Linked DNA regions of Struthio camelus. The protein of the gene in region 2 interacts with the protein of the main gene of each other region in a pairwise test. Links are inferred from orthologs where the notes say so. Each region holds a gene or a part of one and is shown on either strand. Other genes may lie near its edges.

Region 1 (7,185 bases), on a different chromosome or scaffold from region 2:
AAGACCATGCCGACAGCCTGGGTGGCCCTGCAGGTGGCTCGCCCCATCCCCGCTGCACTGCACTCTGAGTTCCCGATGGGAAAAGTATTGCCAGGGGCACCACAGCTCTGCCCTTGGCTGCCCATGGCTTGGAAATGTGGTGCATTGAGCCTTCGCGGGTCGTTTCTTCTCCCGCCAGCAGGGAAAGGAGCTGGTTGTCCTGGGGATGCCGAGATGCAGGTAAAGCCAGCAGCCACTTCCCTGCGCGATGCACCCGTGGCCTCCGACTCCTGTTCAACGCACGCCGTGGCTTGCTCCCACGTGTCCCAGGCGGCCCCAGCTTGCAACAGCACAGACGACAGCGAGGAGGAGGAGGAGGAGGAGGAAGGCTGTGACGCGGAGGAGTGGCGGTGCCGCTGCGAAGCCGAGCGGGCCAAGGTCCTGCAGCTGGAGCAGCAGCTGGTGACAAAGGTGCGGGAGTGCGAGTGGCTCTCGGCCGCCCGTCGGACAACAGCGCGCAGCCTCTGGCAGCGGGTGCGAGAGCTGGAGCAGCTGCTGCTGGGGACAAAGAGTGAAGCCGGGACAGAGCCGGAGGATGACTATTGCCTGACCCTCCTGGCCGAGCACCTGCGGGAGCTGAGGAGGAGGAAGGAGGAGGCGGCAGGAGGCTTGGCGGCACCGGAGGAAGAGGAGGAGCGGCAGCAAGGTGAGCCAGAGCGGGAGGATGCGTGCAGGAGGCTACGGGAGCTCGAGGACCACTCAGAAAACCCACCAGCCACGATCGCCGCCGCCGAGCAGGCCCAGCTTGACGGGGACGAGCAGCGGCTGTGGGCACCTCTGGCACTGTTCCTCTCCTGGCTGGAGGAAACCTGCACCAAACTGCGGGCGGAGAAGCTCACCGTCTTCACCAGGAGCAAGGGACTGAGGAAGGAGGTGGAGGAAGCTTTGAGGAGCAAACTGCATTATGAGGTGGTGTCGGCCGACGCCGTCCGGAAAAGCCTGGCGGCCTGGGAGAAGCTGGCACTGGGGCTGGAGCAGGCGCTGAGCCACGCCGACGAGAGTCATGCCGAGCTGCTGCGGAGATCCCGGCCCCTCCTGGAGACCCTCCGGGCCCTGCAGAGTCAGCGGGAGCTGGAGGAGCCGCTCGACGGGGCAGCGCCTTCCCGCTCGCCAGAGAACGGCAGGGCCAAGCCAGAGGAAGTGAATCCAAGCCAGGCAGAAAAAAGCCAGAGCCAAGCACGCACGCTGGAGAGAGAGGCCGAAGAGCGGCCGCGGGCCAGGAGCTCCAAGTTGGAGAAGGAGGTGCTGGAGCTCAAGGAGAGCAACGGAAGGCTCCTGGGCGAGCTGGCCCAGCTGGGCCGGGAGCGTGAGCGGCTGCAGGAAGAGCTGCGTGGGCTGCGAGAGCGGGACGCCAGTGCGGCGGCGGCCACCGAGGGGCCTGGGCAGCGGGCAGCCGCCCTGGCCCGGGCGCTGGAGGCCGAGCAGGAGGAGACGACACGGCTGAGACGGCGGCTGGCGGCACAGCGGCGGGAGCTGGCGGTGCTGCGAGACAGCCTGGGCGCCCAGGCCCAGGAAGAGGCCGGCAACCAGCTCCCTGGCGCCTGCATCCTCCAGGAGCTGCACTGCAAGCTGGACGGGCTGGTGAGGACGCAGCACGAGGCCTTGCAACTCGTGTCGCAGATGGAAGGCGAAGGCGAGGCACTCGGGGATGCCCCGCGGCCGCCGGGTGAAAGAGACCCCCGCGGTCGCTGGGACGAGGACGGCGGAGACGGGCCAGCCGCAGGGGCCGCGCTGCGCTCCCGCGAGGAGATGACCCCAGACATCCCAGAGGGCAGCCGGGCGCTGCGGCGGGAGCTGGAGGCAGCCAGCGCTGAGGCCGCGCGCTGGGCCGAGGCTGCGGCTGCCGAGAGGAGGGCGAAGGAGGAGCTGGAGGTGCGGGCAGCCGAGCGGGAGCAGGAGGCACGGGAGCTGCAGGTGACATCGCGGGGGCTAGAGAGGAGCGTGGAGAAGCTCAGCGCCAAAGTGGGTGAGCTCGCCAGGGCCTGCCAGGACAAGGAGGGGAAGGTAAGAGTCAGGGCCCACACACAAGGCTAACAGGAGGAGGCAGCCCCTTCCCATCACCATCCCCTTGCCATCGGTATGTCCTTGCCATCGTTATGTCCTTCCCATCGCCGTTCCCATCACCATCACTTGCCCATCACCGTCCCCTTCTCATTCTCTCCTTCCCATTGCCATCCCTTTCCCATTGCCATCCCTTTCCCATCATAATCTCTTTCCCTGCCCATCAATATCCCCTTCCCATCATCATCCCCTTCCCATAGTCATCACCTTCCCGTTCCCATCATTATCCCCTTCCCAACACCATCTCCTTCCCATCACCGTCCCCTTCCCATTGCCATCACCTGCCCGCCAACATCCCCTTCCCATCACCATCCCCTCCTCCTTCCCAACACCATCCTTTTCCCACCATCATCCCCTTCCCATCGCTATCTCCTCCTGATAAAGCCAACCTGATCCATGGAAATGCCTAACACCCAGCAGGAGCGAGAATTTCCCGTTGTGCAAAAAGATCTCAAAGCGCCCATTTCTCAGCCAACTTTGGGGGGGGGGGGGCAGGCAGGAGGGTTGAGACAACTCCCGGGGGTAGCAGCGGGGCAGGAGCCAGCCCCCCGTTTTTCCCCGTCGGCTCCCAACTCTGCTCCCTGCTGCCTGACGCCAGATCAAGCAGCTGCTGGCGGAGATGGAGAAGCTCTCAGCGGAGGTGCTGGCAGTCCGCAGCGAGAGCGTCCGGCTGCAGCTCCGGCTGGAGGTGGGTCCCCGGCACCCGGCATCGCCCGCCAGCATTGCCTGGCATCGCCCACCGGCATCGCCCACCGGCATTGCCCCGGCTCTGCTTCCAACCTCCTTTTTTCCCACCAGCTCCAGCAGAAAAACCACCAGGACATCGTCACCATCTACAGAACCCACTTGCTCAACGCCGCCCAGGTAGGAGTCGGAGGCATCTCTGCCCTGGAGGGTGTTTTGGGCTGAAATGCTGCAAAATGCAATTTTTAGCCAGCGCTGGAGGCTGGGACGGAGTCTGGGTGCAGCGGGTCCCGGCTGAGCTTTGCTCCGGCAGGGGTTCATGGACGAGGTGGTGCACGGCATGCTGCTGCGGATCCTGCGGACGGGGGACGCCTGACGCCGCCGGGACGGATCCCGCACGTGCCCCGAAGCCATTAAACGGGAAAAGCTGCTCTGCGTGTGCTGCCTTCCTCCGGAACGGGATGGGGATGGGGACGGGGATGGGGACGGGGATGGGGGGGCCGGGGGGACCAGGGCGGCTGCACCCACCACCTAGCGCCGGGGGCATAGGGCACCCTGGGGGTGGCGGGGCTGGGTGGCCCCCTGGCCCCAGGACTAGTTAGTGGTACTGGTCAGGCCCTGGGCAGGACTAACCAGTGGGACTGGTGAGGCCCCAGCCCCAGGACAGAACTAGTTAGTGGTGCTAGTCAGTCCCCAGGCCAGGACTAGTTAGCAGTGCCGGTCACCCCCGGGCAGGACTAGTTAGCGGTGCCAGTCATCCCAGGCCAGGACTAGTTAGCAGTGCCAGTCACCCCTGGGGAGGTCTAGTTAGCGGTGCCGGTCAATCCCCAGGCCAGGACTAGTTAGCGGTGCCGGTCAGTCCCCAGGCCAGGACTAGTTAGCGGTGCCAGTCACCCCTGGGGAGGTCTAGTTAGTGGTGCCGGTCAATCCCCAGGCCAGGACTAGTTAGCGGTGCCAGTCACCCCTGGGCAGGACTAGTTAGCGGTGCCAGTCACCCCAAGCCAGGACTAGTTAGCGGTGCCAGTCACCCCTGGGGAGGTCTAGTTAGCGGTGCCGGTCAGTCCCCAGGCCAGAACTAGTTAGCGGTGCCGGTCACCCCCGGGCAGGACTAGTTAGCGGTGCCGGTCGCCCCGGGCAGGACTAGTTAGCGGTGCCAGTCACCCCTGGGGAGGTCTAGTTAGCGGTGCCAGTCAGTCCCCAGGCCAGGACTAGTTAGCGGTGCCGGTCGCCCCCGGACATGACTAGTTAGCGGTGCCGGTCGCCCCGGGCAGGACCACTCGGCGGCGGGGCGGAGTTGCGCGACGCTCCCTGCCCGCCCCCCCTCCCCCGCGCGCCGTGCGGCTGCGGCCGGGCGCGGAGTTTGCCTCGGCCCCTGGCGCGCGGCTGCCATGTCCCAAGATGGCGGAGGCGGCAGAGCTGAAGGTGCCGCGGGGGGGCCGCGGGGCCGGGCTGCGGCGGTGTGGGGTGGGGTGGGGGTGCCGGGCGGGGAGGCTTGGGGGTGAGGCATTCTGGGGGTGCGAGAGGGACAGCGGTGGCCGTGTGGGGCCAGGGGGCTGGAAGGCTGGAGCCGGGGGGCAGGAGCCGAGAGGCTGTGGGGCAGGAGCAGGAGCCAGGACCCGGGGGGCTGTGGGGCAGGAGCAGGGGCCAGGACCCGGGGGCTGTGGGGCAGGACCCAGGGGACTTTGGGGCAGGGGCAGGGGCCAGGCCCTGGGGGGGCTATGGGGCAGGACTCGGGGGGCTGTGAGGCAGGAGCAGGGACTAGGACCCGGGGGGCTGTGGGGCAGGAACTAGGGGCCTGTGGGGCAGGAGCAGGGGCCAGGACCCAGGGGACTGTGGGGCAGGGGCCGGGACCCGGGGGGGCTATGGGGCAGGACCCAGGGGACTGCGGGGCAGTGGCAGGAGCAGGGGCCAGGACCCAGGGGCTGTGGGGCAGGAGTAGGGGCCAGGAACCGGGGGATTGTGAGACAGGGGCAGGGGCCAGGACCCGGGGTGGCTATGGGGCAGAACCCAGGGGACTGTGGGGCAGAAGCAGGGGCCAGGACCCGGGAGGCTGGGGCAGGAACTAGGAGGGCTGTGGGGCAGGAGCAGGGGCCAGGAACCGGGGGCTATGGGGCGGGGGCTGAGTAGTAGGAGCGGGGAGGGGCTGTGGGGCAGGGACCAGGCGTAGGAACCAGGGGGGCTGTGGGGTAGGCAGCGGGGCAGGACCCAGGGGTGCTGTGGGGCAGGACCCGGGGGGCTGTGGGCCAGGAGCAGGGGCCAGGAACAGGGGGCTGTGGGGCAGGAGCAGGGGGGCAGCGGAGCAGGGCTGAGTGGAAGAAGCAGGGGGGCTGTGGGGCAGGAACCAGGTGTAGGAACCAGGGGGGGCTGTGGGGTAGGGCTGCGGGGCAGGAACCAGAGGGGCTGTGGGGCAGGTCCAGGGAGCTGTGGACCAGGGCTAGGGGGCAGGACCATGGGGCAGGGCAGGGGGGACTATGGGGTAGGAGCAGGGGGCAGCGGGGCTGGCAGAATGAGGGGCCGGATGCTGAGGCTCGCCCCAGGCTCAGGGCTCAGGCAATGCGTGGGGCTGGGGGAAGGGTTGGGGGGGTGGAGTAGGGTGATATGCTGGACTGTGGGGCAGCAGGGCTGCAGGTCCTGCGGGGTGGGGATGAAGAGCTGGGGGCTGGGGGGGGGGGCAGAGGGCTCAGCCGTGGGGGTCTACAGTGGAGCGGGGGCGTCCGAAGGGGTGCAGAGGGAGAGCGGGCAACGCCGGGGGAAGAGGCGGATGGACAGACGGGGACGGACGAGGAAACCGTGGGGCTGAGCGGCAAGGGGGCTGGGGCCAGGGCGGCGGGGGGCTGCGGAGGCAGGCGCAGAGACCGCCCGGGCGAGAGGGTCACGTAGGAAAGGGGGTCGGGTTTTGGACGTCGGCACGCTGAGCGGCGGATGAGGCTGCTGAATCAGGCAGCGACCTCCCGTGCTGTTTGCAAAGAGGAGGGGGCTGGAAGATTTTGGGGGGCTCAGGCGTGCGACGGAGGTTCAGAGAAAAGAAGTAGAAACCTGAAGGAAGGGAGAGCCAAGAAACGGAGCAGTTCAGACCCTCGAATGAGGTAGGGGAGTGCGGAGAGCGCAGAAAATAACCGGTAGGCTGGAGAGGGGATGAAGCTTGAGGCAGATCTTGGGGCAAGACGATGGTATAGCGGGCCGGGGAGCTGCGAGATGCTCCTGGGGTTTCGTAGGGGAGGAGGGAGCGGAGAGCGTGTAACATGGTAGTGCTGCACCAGTGCTCACAGCTGGATGGGGTTTCATCTCCCTCCACTCTCTTTTTCTCGTTTTTAGGAGTCAGAGTGTGTAACCACCTTTGCCCACCAGACTGTGGAATATGAAATTGCCCCTGGTAACTAATTCCAAAGCTGATTTGTGTCCTTGTTGGCGTTTAATATTTTTTCCCACAGGCTGGAATATAGATCTTAGCTGGCTGAAGTGGCCTAAGAGTCCTGCCCCCTTCCCTCTGCTGGGAATAGTAAGACATTTGGGAACTGGCACCTTCTTGGCAGCCAGCCACAGCAAGAACATAATTCTCTGGAGCTAGTATGTGTCTGTAATCTTTCCAGCAGCGGCCCGTCCAAATTTTGATACTGCTTTATGGTGTGATTGTTCTCCTTCCCCTAAAACTCTGTGTGACCTAAGCATGACTACAATGGGAGCCCTATCAAGTGTCAAAATGTTAACAGTATTTGTGGAGAAATTGGATCCGATAATTGTAATTGGGTGAATTGGAACAGCGCAGAACTTGAGCTCCAGAAATGCTTTTTATTTGTGCCGTTTCCCAGCATTCCAGGCAAGGTGTTAATGGCAAAAAGACCCACGTCCCCAGGCTCAGGTGAATGAACGCAGGGGCGCAGGCCCTGGTCCCGCTTTGACCCGCTGTTGCGTTCAGCAGGATGCATGTAAACGGTGCTGCTGCCCTCAGTGTGGCTACTCATCATATGCACTATAAAATAGCACATGCGTAATCCTGCAGTTTCAGGCCATAGCTAGCAAATGGCAAAGCTGAGTGCAACATACAGAGGGCAAAGTGGGTGTAATGTCCTTGGCATTTTCCACTCTGTTCCCTCTGCAGATAAATCACTGCAGAGGAATTGTGTTTTAAGGAGAGATGAAGCTTAGCGCATAGGTTTACATTCTCTGAGGTTTGGCCCACCTCTGAGATCCTCTAGTGGTCTTCCAGACTTCAGCCCTTTCTCTGGAGCCTGGCATTATTCAAGGCTCTCTTCAGTTTATTTTTAAATCTGTGCTCCCTTCCGGCAACTGAATTCTCTTGTCCATCTCCCCTAAGCCCTTTTTAGTTTACTAGCCAGGAGTTTAAGATTTTTACCATCTGTATCTCATTGTAAAAGCAAGACCGAGCCAGTTGAAAATGAA
Region 2 (7,061 bases):
TACAACAGATAACACTAATAACATTTGGAGCGTAGTTACTTAAACCAGGCCTTAACATTTCATTAAGCTGCTGAGACAGCTATGGGCAGACCTTGTCATAGCGAGCAGGCTTTTTGCTTTGTTTCAGAAGTACTAACATATGAACAGATTACAGAAATTAGGCAGTTGTTTTCCTATGTCAGAGGAGAAAAGGCTCAAATGTTATTTTCAGTTTCTGGCGTGCTTAGCTTAAAGTAAATCATAAAGAAAGCAAGGAATCATAAGAAGTGGTAGGTAGCGCATACTGTTTTTCACTACTGTAGCATTAGCAATATACTAGGAGCTGAAAATAAGCCATACTTGATTAGGTACATATACTTGGGAATGATATCAGTATCTGAGCATTACTGAGAGTTTTTGTCATTGAGAGATGTGTGGTTTGTGTAAGACAGATCAGAGTTACAGGTCTGTTGAATATCTGTAATGACAGGCAGAAAATGGCCTTCTCTATCAACCAACATAACTCTCAAGTATGCACACAATAATGAAGTATTTCTTCTTAATATTGATCATTCCATTTCAAGCACCAAGTAACATCAGATAAAGAAAATATACATGTATTTATTTGTTTGCAGGATCTATGTGGATGCTCTTAACCCCACTCTACTCCCTGCTCTGCTCCCCTCCCCACCCCTCTCTGCTCAGGTGTAAGCATAAAGATATATGCATATCTGAAAGAATCAGAAAGCATCTGTGATATTTCACAGAGGATCCGATAGCTCTTCTTAAGTAAAAGTGTATCTCCAAGTCACTAGGTCACAGTAGCACTCAAGAAGAGGCACCTCAGGAAGGGCCTCCGACATAGCTACAGTTGGCAGATTCACCACTTTCACTATTCCGCCTGGAAGGGAAAGATTTGGACATAAATATTTTCAGTTCTTGTGGTCTTTAGGTTATGTCAGTAGCCCTTATCAGTAAGATAAGTCATCAATAAGACAGTCTTTGGATAAATGCACTTTTACACATCTTTCAAAGTCCCTAAAACTCAGGGACATCACGTGGATTTCTGATGTTCCTTGGCAGGCTCTGAATCCACAAATTAATGAGTGGATTATTGTGATTCATATGCCACTTTCATTTTTGGCAGGTAACACTAGTGGTATTGGAGGATGATTACTTGAATGAGATCTGCACCCACTTTCCTCAAATCAGCACTCTGAAAAAACTCAGTGATAAAATGTAGCTGTCAGCATAAATACATGCATAAATACAATATATGAACACATATTCTGTAGAGAGTTTTGGCTGTACAGTTCCAGACTTCAGGGATGAGCAGATGCGTACGACTTTCTACAGTTCTTGTAGAAGGCTGGGCAAGCAAACATCTGTGGTGGACATTGAGGAAGAGGAAATTTCAACGTGTCAGTAATAGGAAAGTTACATTGTACACCTGCTTTTTTAGGCATGCCATCTGTGCTCAGTCATACCATAATATAGCTTTGATGGCATGCCACAACTAAAGGGCAGGCAGTATACTTGCTTCATTGACATGAATGACAACTTTATAAAACACACTGCTTAATGATATAAATCATAACTTTCAAACACAATATATAGTTATCCTGAATGTTTTCCAATGTTTAGACCTATGCTAATTATTTTCATACTGAAAGCACTGTCGAAGCATTAGAGTGAAAACCAGTGCACACTAGGTAAGCAATAGCACCTTATCTATACTAATACTGAACTTCACAGTATATTTTGTTGGCCTGTAATTACCCCATGACATCCAGTGAATATTGTTTACCATCACCTAATAATAAGCAATTCTGATTCCATTACTGCACACAATCTCATATTAAGTTTCTTCTTTCCAAAGTAAACTGCCTGTGAAGTTCAAAGGTATCACTACGTTTTCTAAAAATCTGGATAAATATTTTATGTAGAAAAGGAAATGTGACCTCAAAAATTTGTATTTTCATTAATACATAAAATCATTGGGGAAAAAAAAGGTTTATATTAGAATTCTTTCTTAAAGAGGCATTTTCCGTAGTGTACTTTGGCGTCTTTAAGTGGTAGCATGATCTAAATCCATAATTCAGTTCCAGTCCTGGATCTACTCTTCAATCCATGTGTGGCCTCAGTCAAAATGTATTAAATTTTCCTGTTTCAGTTTCCCTGACTCTAAAGTGGGAATAACATGACTAACCCAAATAGCTTAGTTGCAATTTATAAGATTGAATAACTTGATGATTGGATTTCTGAGACATGAAACATGATTACTATTAGGATTCAATGACCAACCAGGCAGAAGAGTGTGATACAAATACAGGAGATGGGTCTTTGACTACAGAAAACGTGACAACCAGTCAGTCAGTGAGGAGGAAGCTCTAAGGAATGGTTAGCTGTACTTGTAAAAGTGTGAAAGTTCCCATTGCACTTTCTTTTTAGCATCCCATACTACCTAAAGATCGTAAAAAGCTAAGCCCTCTCCAAGAAATGAACAGGTCCAAAACACTACATGCAAAGAAATTTTTATCTGCGTAACAGAGCTAGGTATTGTTTTCTAGTGGAAATGTCAGAATTGATTAAAGGCTTGGCATTTCTATTTAAAATCAGCCAGTGCATGATACATTTTAAAGGGAGAAAAATATAGAGGCCAAATAACATGGAGATAACAGGCTAAATTAACTTCTACTGCTGCTGCAGTAACTTGGTAGCCAATGTATTGGGGCCAAATTTATAAATGGGAGTGCCTCATAATAACTATGAGAAAGTATTCTTCCTGCCAGCAAAGTCAATATTATTAATTGTTATTACCATTATTAACCTTTGGGCTTGTGTATCCTCCGTGGATTAATGATTATTCAATAACTGTGTTACAAGGCTGCACTTTCTAATACCAATTAATAGAAGAGCATACCACTGGTTTACTAGGAAAAGTGTTGACGTATCAACTTCACAGTGTCAGTCTTGTTTGTAAGACATGTAAAGGTGCCTACATGAATTGCATTTGTCAATTCCCAGAGCTGAAAGATGAAATCTGCCACAAAGTCAAAATAAATAAAAAAGGAGATCGGGCTGACATCCAGGGTCCCCTCTCTTCTCAGGCTCCTAGGGAATAAGAAACAGCCTCAGCTTTCAGGGAAACCTGCCCTCACTGCCAGGTTCACTCTCCAGGAACTCCACTTCCAAACTGTGCATCAGCGAAGAAGGGAAGGAAGGTCTTAAAAACAAAAGAACAGAGGAAAAAGTCCCTCCCCAAGGAGAAATTAAACGGAAAAAAAAAAAAGAGAATTCCGAAACAGCGGTACTGTGGAGCACGTCGTGCCAGGTGAAACATCAGGCGAGGGAACCGCGGGTGAAGCGCGGCGGCACCCGGCCCCGCTGCCGCTGCCGGCCCCGACGGCGCGGCCCCGCTGCCGCCCGGCTCGGGCGGGTCGCCACCACCGCGGCGCGGCCCCTCCGCAGGCTGCCGGCCCTCGCCCCGCAGCCCCCCGCCGCCTGCGCGGCCGCGGAGCTGCGCGCCGTCAGAGCCGGTCCTGCGCCGCCGCCGCTCGCCGCAGCAGCGCGGTGCCATCCCGGCCCGAAACGGCCCCGCCGGCGCGGCCTTCCCGCGGGGGCAGCCGCGGGCGGGAATGAAGCAGCGGAGGGAGGAAGGAGGGAAGGGAAAGCGGTGGGGCCGCGGTGCTCCGCGGGGGGCTCCGACCTTTCTCGCTGCTCTGTGTGTGTGTGTGTGTGTGTGTGTGTGTGTCCTACCTGGCTCCCTGCGCGGCGGAGGGGGCGGCGGGGACACACACACACACACACACCCCCCACCTCTCGCACTCCCACCGAGTCAGCGAGCAGAGAGGAGGAGGCACCACACACACACACACAAAAACGCGGCTCGCCCCCCACTCCGCTGCCGCGCAGGGCGGCGCGCAGCCCCCCCCCCCCGCCCCAACCCAGGCTCCCCGCGCCCGCGCTGCCCCGACGGCACCGCCGCCCCCTCCCCCGGGGGCACCGCACCCCGCCCGAGGGCGCCGTGCGCGGCGGCCGGGAGGGGAGCGCGCACACACGCACACGCGCGCGCAGGCAGAGCTGCCCCACGCCGGTACCTGCTGCCCTGGTGTTTTCCGTCCGGGCTCCTCCTCGCTCAGGCAGCTCGGGAGGGGAGCCGAGCGGGCAGGCGCGCGTGTGCGTGCGCGCGTGTGCGTGTGCGTGTGTGTGCGTGTGTGTGTGTGTGTGTGCGCGAGAGAGAGACACAGAGAGAGACACAGAGAGAGAGAGAGAGAGAGAGAGAGAGAGAGAGAGAGAGAGACTCTCCCCCTTCCCCCCTCCCCCTCCTCCTCCTCGCTCTCCTTCCTTTAAACGCCCACTCCCGATGGGTGAACAGACAACTTGAACTTCAGTGCAATTAACTTCGCCGGCGCCTCGGAAGCCGGAGGTGTCGCCGGCCTCGCCCGCCGCGCTCCCATGCGTGAGTCGCTCCCCGCTCCTCGGCCTCTCTGGGGGGAGGGAGGGAAGGAGGTGGGGGGGGAATGGGGGGGGGCAGACGGGGCAGCGCAGCGCGGGGGGCACAAGCCGCGGAGGCGGGCGCGGGCGCGCAGGGCCGGCGCCGGCAGCGCGGGGGACGGCGGGGAGGCTCCGCGACGGGGCGCCGCTGCCCGCCCGCCGCCCGGCCGCGCACCTGCCGCCGCCGCCCCGCGGGGGCGAGAGGGAGGACAAAAAAAAAAAAAAAACCACGAGCCGTCCGAAAAGTTTGGCAAACTTCTCGCGCGGCCCCGCGCGCCTCCCCGACGCGGGGCACCGCGGCCGGCGGCGCCCGGGAGAGCGCGGGGCGAGGAAGGCGGGAGGGGGGGAGGGAGCCGTCGTGGGCCGCGGGCGCGGCGAGGCCGCCGGGCGCCAGCGCGGAGCTGCGCGCTCCCCCGCGGCGCGGCGCGGTGCGGTGCGGAGGTGCGGGGGGCCGCAGCAGCCCCAGCGCCTCCCCCACAACCCCGTCCGTGCTCCGCGCTTTTATTCTGATTTTTTCCGCTCCGCCGGCAAAACCGCCGCCCGAGGTTGTGCCCCCGTCGCCGTCCTTTTGCCGGCGTCTCCGGCCGCTGCCCGGGCGGAGCGCTCCTGACAGGCGGCACCTGCCCGGTTTTAAGTTTTCCTTTGCCAGGCTCCAGGCTTCGCTGCCTGCTGGAGAAACTTCGCTAAAACGCAAGTTCGCTGAAACACTTCGCACCAGCTCCTAAGCTGAAATGCGTTTAAAATGACGAAAGCTCGCCATCGGTTTTTGTTCGCTCCAACGGAGTGCGGTGCTTCCGTGAAAATAACTCACAAATTCAGATTCACAGACTCTAAGGCGTATGATCTAGCAGGACCCTTTCCTTGCAGTCCCTGCTTCTTGGGTGTGAGTTAGCAGCCGTCCCTTATTTCTACTTTATATTATTTTGGTATAGTACATTCATATATTTGTCTGCTGTAGTCTGCTGGCAAACATTAGCATTCAAGCTTACATTTTTGACAAATGTGCAGACAGGAATAGCATGAATAGGCATCTTAAATATTAACAACCTAAGCATCTGTTGTGAAACAAATTTAATATATTTACTCTGTTTTTCTCACATTGTTAGAAAAGGTTACAATAAGTGTAAAATTTCAACTTTAGTTAGCACAAGGAATGCTTGGATATTTCACTATCTCTTCAAGCATTTAACACACTCACTAGATAGAAATGTGTCAAATCAGGCGCACTATTCAAAAAACAACTTGCAACAGTAAGCATAGAGTGTAAAGGCATGAATGTAGGATGTTCTCTGTAATTTGTATCATCTCATTACTCTGCAGCACTGTTTGTAGAATTTTAGAGTGCTCTTTTCAATCCCGTGTTCCTATATGCTTTTTAATACATTTACGCATACGCTCATTTTCCATTTCATTTTCCATTTCAGATTGTTGTTGGTATTACCTTGCTTTTCAAGTCGAAGTAATGATTTGTGCAGAAATGTGTAATCACGTAGAGTAGGTAACAAAAAGAGCAAGCAGAAGAGGTAACGTGTGCAAGTGTAAGTGTGCATCTGAACAGATAGCACACACACATTATAAGGCAATAGAAGAAAAATTAAAATCGTTGGTTAATATGCTATATATGCCCACTCTTGAATACAAACAGCTAGTGGAAAAGAAACAACTGGCTCCAAGGAATTCCTCCTTCCCTGGAATAAGACTATTCTGAGTAGAACAAGAACAAGAGTAAAGTTTCCAAAAAGCCTGTAGAGTTATTTCAGGAATCAGTGCATTCCTTCTCTTTTTCCCACAAGTTCAAATATGTAATAAATAAGTCCTTTGTATGCAAAAGAGTTTACTGGAACAAAAAATATTTAAATGGAATGCTTTTTGTGCGTACACTTTAAAAAAGTAGCAGTTTCCTTTTTAGACTCTTTCTTGTTGATGCTTTAAATAGGAAAGTAACTATCACAGTTTCTGTTTCTGGACTCCTGTTATTTTAGCGATATGCATAAATCCTAACCTGCTCCGTACCCCTGAGAAAGCTATAAAGCAGATAAAAGTCGGTCTGTGGCTCACTAATGGCACATGCTGTTTTGCGCGAGAGAGAAACAGAGAGGATCTATCTCAGCAGCCCAAATCTGCATTTGAGGAGGGTCCCATTGGGCTCTGCAGCGTAGGCCCCAGAGGTCAGCCGGGCGGCACCTGCCTTGATTGCTGCAGCTCTTTTGGGACTCCCAAATGGTGCCATCCGCTGCCCCGTAAGCATCCGACGGGTGCCCGAACGCCAAATCCTCCGGGGAACGTGGGCACACTCACCCCTTCGTCGCAACAGCATCTGGAGGGTAGGAAAGTCTTGAACGCGCACCAACTTACGCTGCATTTCTGGTTTTGGGTGGAGAGGGGTTTAGAAGCGTGCGACTGCAGTTTAGAAAATGAAGCTGGGGTATTTTGGCGTTCTTGAAAAAACAAATGTTTTAACAATCAAATATTGTGTCAGCTACTCAATTTTTAGAAGTACTTCTATTGTCACCTGTTTTTTAATCTGAGTGTCATAGATAAATTTGAAGTCCTTCTTAAGGTTTCCAGCTGTATTTGGAGAAAAA

What was found.
Region 1: the proteins of SATB1 (region 2) and PIAS3 interact in a two-hybrid assay, tested with the Homo sapiens proteins (2 studies listed by BioGRID and IntAct). The link is inferred for Struthio camelus from reciprocal best matches to the Homo sapiens genes SATB1 and PIAS3.

Annotation. Positions count from the first base shown.
Region 1 is NC_090971.1:3,179,904-3,187,088, reverse strand, and holds the start of PIAS3 (E3 SUMO-protein ligase PIAS3), read left to right. Parts: upstream 1-4,120; 5' UTR 4,121-4,182; coding exon 4,183-4,206; intron 4,207-5,752; exon of another isoform or gene 5,753-5,870; intron 5,871-6,099; exon of another isoform or gene 6,100-6,142; coding exon of another isoform or gene 6,143-6,157; intron 6,158-7,185. Other genes in the region: ANKRD35 (ankyrin repeat domain-containing protein 35), read left to right, coding at 179-1,428, 1,465-2,043, 2,699-2,788, 2,899-2,964, 3,098-3,160. UniProt on the Homo sapiens protein: Functions as an E3-type small ubiquitin-like modifier (SUMO) ligase, stabilizing the interaction between UBE2I and the substrate, and as a SUMO-tethering factor.
Region 2 is NC_090943.1:42,032,086-42,039,146, reverse strand, and holds the start of SATB1 (DNA-binding protein SATB1), read left to right. Parts: upstream 1-4,053; 5' UTR 4,054-4,437; coding exon of another isoform or gene 4,438-4,441; intron 4,442-6,569; exon of another isoform or gene 6,570-6,800; intron 6,801-7,061. UniProt on the Homo sapiens protein: Crucial silencing factor contributing to the initiation of X inactivation mediated by Xist RNA that occurs during embryogenesis and in lymphoma.